2 linked regions of the Kluyveromyces lactis genome follow. Each later gene encodes a partner of the first gene's protein in a complex. Links are inferred from orthologs where the notes say so. Each region holds a gene or a part of one and is shown in the gene's direction. Other genes may lie near its edges. The genes, in order: RPC17 and RPC19.

Region 1 (2,723 bases):
CATATTTTGAAAGATATGCCACGAACGGTAATGTTTCTTATGGTGATGATGGTGTTGAAATGACTATTAATAAGAGATTGGATAATCCAAGTTTGGTTTCAGAATTTTATATTATGTTTGGTAAAGTTCAAGCGATTGCCAAGGCTGCCGGTGGTCAAGGTATTATTTCCTCATTCTATTTGCAAAGTGATGATCTTGATGAAATTGATATCGAATGGACTGGTACTGATACTACTCAAGTTCAATCCAATTTCTTCTCCAAGGGTGAAACTACTACATTTGACCGTGGTGCTTTCCATTCGGTGGACGATCCTCAAGGTTCTTACCACAATTATACCATTGATTGGACTAAGGATGAAATCAATATCTATGTCGACAGTGCACTGGTAAGGACTATCACCAGTGACAATGGTCAAGGATACCCAGAGTCTCCAATGCGTATTTTCACAGGTATTTGGGCTGGTGGTGATTCCCAAAACGAGCCCGGAACCATTGAATGGGCAGGTGGTTTGACCGATTATACCAAAGCTCCATTCAGCATGTATTTGAAAGACGTTATCGTTGTTGATTACTCCACTGGTACAGAATACTCATACTCAGGCACCGATGGTACTTGGGAATCTATTGAAGCTAATGATGGTGAGGTGTATGGTAGATATGATCAAGGAGTAGCAGATTTCGATAAGTTAGCTTCTGGTGGAAGCGTATCAGACGACACTTCATCTTCATCCTCCTCATCCTCCACATCTTCATCTTCAACCAAGACAAGTGCATCTCCATCTACATCCAAATCTTCATCCACTTCCTCATCCTCATCTTCATCCTCATCCTCATCCGCATCATCATCATCCTCATCCTTATCCTCATCCTCCCCCACTACGACTTCTAAATCTAGTACCACAATTCCAACTACTTCCACTGAAAGCACCTTGAACACAACTAGTGCTTCATCTACCAGTGCTTCATCATCCAGTATTACTGCATTGAACACAACATCTTCCTCCACTTCCCTATCATCTTCTTCAACTCAGTTGAATACAACTGAATCTCTAATAACTTCCACGGAAGAACTTGTGACCACAGGTTTCTCATCTTTGGTCACTACCACCGCTGCTGACGAAGAGATCACATCGTATGCCACTGGCGAGACAAGCTCATCAGCTGCTTTAACATCCACACAGTCAGAAAACGCTGCTGCTTTCAATTTACCGCAATTGCTTGCTATCATTCCAGCACTTCTACTTCTCTAATAAATAGTCATTTTGTAATATAAACTAACCTCGTTGAATTTTAATAGGTGCATCTTAATCGCTATGGTACCAGCATCAGCCATGCAACTGGTATGCACAAAGCAGGATACGTATACCCTGAGCACTTGTTTCGTTCATCTAAATCATGATACACGGGATTATTTTTCACCGCTTCGAATATATTGAAAGCCATGCAAAGAGAAGAGATGAGCTGAGTTGAGATCAAAGAGTAGCAAGTAATAAAGACTGTATCGGCCTATACTGAATTATCCAAGTAAAAAGCTTCTCATATAACAAAATTCCAAGAAAATGCGCGTGCTTGAGGAAAAAAACGCTTTTATGAGCGACTACGAAACTTTGCAGTTCCTCATATCATTACAGAATCAACACCGATGGACCTCTGGATCAAAATCAGACAGGAAACACAACAAACCATACTACCATCCAGAACTGCAAACGATAACCAGAGACACGGTAAGGTACATAACACAGCGTTCCACTACAGCAGAAGACCCAGAAGAACCAGAAACGTCGGACAAGACCGTACCCAATAACGCCAACAAATCCACACTGCTGAACCTAACTACAGACCAATTCTCAACACTAATGCAAGAATTAAATGCTTTCCCACTATACAAAGCAGAAAAACTACAAATAGTGAACCAATTACCAACAAACTTGGTCCATTTGTATAGCATAGTCGAAGAGTGCGAATCAAGACTTGACGAAGGTCAGGTGACCTCGCTTCTCGAATGCATCTCCCGCACGTGCCTCTAATTATTATACACCATAATACAATATCTATAATGTTTAAATGCTTGGAGAAAAAAATCACATATAACAGACCGAAATACAATGAGAAAAAAGATCAGGAACATGAGTTTCAATGTTTCCAAGTGACAGTATAAGGGAAAAAAGGGATACCCTAGAATAAAGTAGTTATCAGGGCTTCTGAGTGGGTTAGACTTGCATCAGGACCTTTGAAATAGCTGATACTGATAACGATGGTAAAATTTGGTGAACATTTGAAGCGATCTTTGATTCGTGAGTACAGTTATTACTATATCAGTTACAATGACTTGAAGACGGAGTTACAGGAATCCTTGGAAGCTAACAACGGAAAATGGAACGAGGATTTGGAGACTCAGTTTTTGGAGTCCTTGGAAATTGAATTGGATAAAGTGTACACTTTTTGCAAAGTGAAGCATAACGAGGTAGTGCGTCGTATCAAGCAAGCCCAGGAACAAGTTTCTGTCGCTGTGCGTTCTTTGGATACAAATGTTCCGGTTACAGATTTGGATTTCCAAATCTTAGAAGAAGAATTGTCTGATATCATTGCTGATGTGCATGATTTGGCCAAGTTTGCCAGGTTAAACTACACCGGTTTGCAAAAAATTATTAAGAAGCATGATAAGAATACCAATTTCATCTTGAAACCTATTTTCCAAGTCAGAATGGATGCCAAACCGTTCT
Region 2 (2,001 bases), about 100 kb from region 1:
TGGTTCACGGGTTGGCCCTGAGGAGGAGGCATCTTATCCTTGCTTTGAGCACTATCTTGCTCTTGACGCTGACCACCAGCACCATTGTTTTGAGTTTCTGTGCTGCCCATCGTGTAACGCGTGTTGCTTTAAAAGGAAAATCTCACGGGAAACCTATTACTAAAACGGAGATGCAACACTCAGATCTCCTATCACCAAATCTCAAGGGTAAATTGTGAAATATTAAACGTTAATGGTCAATAATACCAGTACCAATACCGAAATTCAATATCGTTATTTTGATTGCCCCAATAACAACAAACTGATATCAAAAGTAACAACTATTTTTTGGGCTTTGGTCCAAAATGATAATGTAACGATGAGAAAACCAAGATTGAAAAAAAAAGAAAAAACTTTTTTTTATACCTTCCTTCTTATAGGTATTTTTTTTGAAAAATGCAATGATGAATGAAGGGAGAAGGAAAACTGATTGATCCTGTCGTGTCTGTACGGTGTTTTGTAAGGGGTTTTCCGTGGAATGATGATATTAGTTCAACAGATTGGAAACAGCACTATACGTGATGATGGAAACTTTAGCTGATAACTGGTTAGGTATACGGACTGTCCTTGTTTTATGATTTGTGAATGATATTTGATACTTGACCCGGATTGTTATGCTAATTCTGTAACGGCCTCCCCTGATGATTTTTGCCAAGGGACTTTGGGTATGTCTCGCTTTGGTCGCATTTTCTCATTTCTTTTAGTTTACTTTGCTTTTTGTTCGGGATCCGTTGTTTATATACTATGGTGTGGTACCCTGAGCGTGGCTATGAGCAACACCTGTGCATTGCGCGGTAACTGATGAAGTGTGTGACACGTGATCTGGTATTTCGCATCAACTTGCTTCTTTCAGTTACCCGGTCAAGACCGGGTAAGCTTTTTGTTTTTTCCTTTAGCATGATTTGGTTTTCCCTCTTCTCTCTATCGAAAAAACCATAATCAATATTGACAAATTGTTCAGCTTAACAGAGTAGGTCATCTCGTCTTATTGACTGTTTGAAAGAAGTACGCACAAACCACCTAAGTGACCATTCATAAGCGCTCTCGGAAATATGGCTGAAGTGGAAAAGCAAGATGTTGATATGCTAGCAGCTGAACAAAATGATCAAGTTGATCAAGTGGAGGAAGAAGTGGACAGTGAAAAGATCAAACTTCTCACAGAAGCTACTTCCGAAGATGGTACTAGTGCTTCTTTCAGAATAACAGATGAAGATCATACCCTTGGTAACACGCTTCGTTATATGATCATGAAAAACCCGGAGGTAGAATTCTGTGGTTACTCTATTCCTCATCCTTCAGAAAACTTTTTGCACATTAGAATTCAAACATACGGCAAAATTACTGCTGTAGAGGCTTTGCACAAGGGTCTTGGAGATCTAATGGACATGTGTGATGCTGTAGAGGACAGATTCACGCAAAGAATCAGGGAAATGTAGAAATTGGTTATCTCCAGCTCCCGCATTAACTATATATAAGAGAATAGAATTAAATACACAACTACATCATCCTTGTATAATACACTATAATATCTATTGATTCTACGTTTATAGCTACTGGTAATCTAGCACATTGGAAGCACCGTTGGATATACCATTGGCAAAAGTAGCTGGAGTGGCTAATGTAATCACGTGACCATTTTGGTAAATTGGTACATTGGTACAAATTTCTTTTTCTCTCTTTTTTGTTTCTTTTTGAAAAATTTGCAAGTTCCCTCATCGCCCTTTGAAACTAATATATAAGCTGCAAACATTATTCAAACCTGTCTCTGATCCTCGTTCATTCAGTATTACAAGTGTGCATTTTTTTTTATCGTTTGGTTCTCAACATCAAGCAACTTATTTCACACATTATACAGAGAACAATGAGTTTCGGCGGTGGAAGAGATCATCAATTTAACAGAAACAACATGGGCAGCACTCATGGTGACTTCCGTGGTAGCAGAGGTTCTGACAGAAACAGCTA

Evidence for each region.
Region 2: RPC17 (region 1) and RPC19 share a complex: the UniProt entries of both Saccharomyces cerevisiae proteins name them as parts of the RNA polymerase III (Pol III) complex. The link is inferred for Kluyveromyces lactis from reciprocal best matches to the Saccharomyces cerevisiae genes RPC17 and RPC19.

What each region holds. Positions count from the first base shown.
Region 1 is NC_006042.1:2,114,057-2,116,779, reverse strand, and holds RPC17 (DNA-directed RNA polymerase III subunit RPC17), read left to right. Parts: upstream 1-1,559; coding exon 1,560-2,027; downstream 2,028-2,723. Other genes in the region: CRH1 (transglycosylase), read left to right, coding at 1-1,250; VTC4 (Vtc4p), read left to right, coding at 2,255-2,723. UniProt on the Saccharomyces cerevisiae protein: DNA-dependent RNA polymerase catalyzes the transcription of DNA into RNA using the four ribonucleoside triphosphates as substrates. Specific peripheric component of RNA polymerase III which synthesizes small RNAs, such as 5S rRNA and tRNAs.
Region 2 is NC_006042.1:2,218,029-2,220,029, reverse strand, and holds RPC19 (DNA-directed RNA polymerase core subunit RPC19), read left to right. Parts: upstream 1-1,091; coding exon 1,092-1,475; downstream 1,476-2,001. Other genes in the region: AZF1 (Azf1p), read right to left, coding at 1-110; DEAD-box ATP-dependent RNA helicase DBP2, read left to right, coding at 1,901-2,001. UniProt on the Saccharomyces cerevisiae protein: DNA-dependent RNA polymerases catalyze the transcription of DNA into RNA using the four ribonucleoside triphosphates as substrates.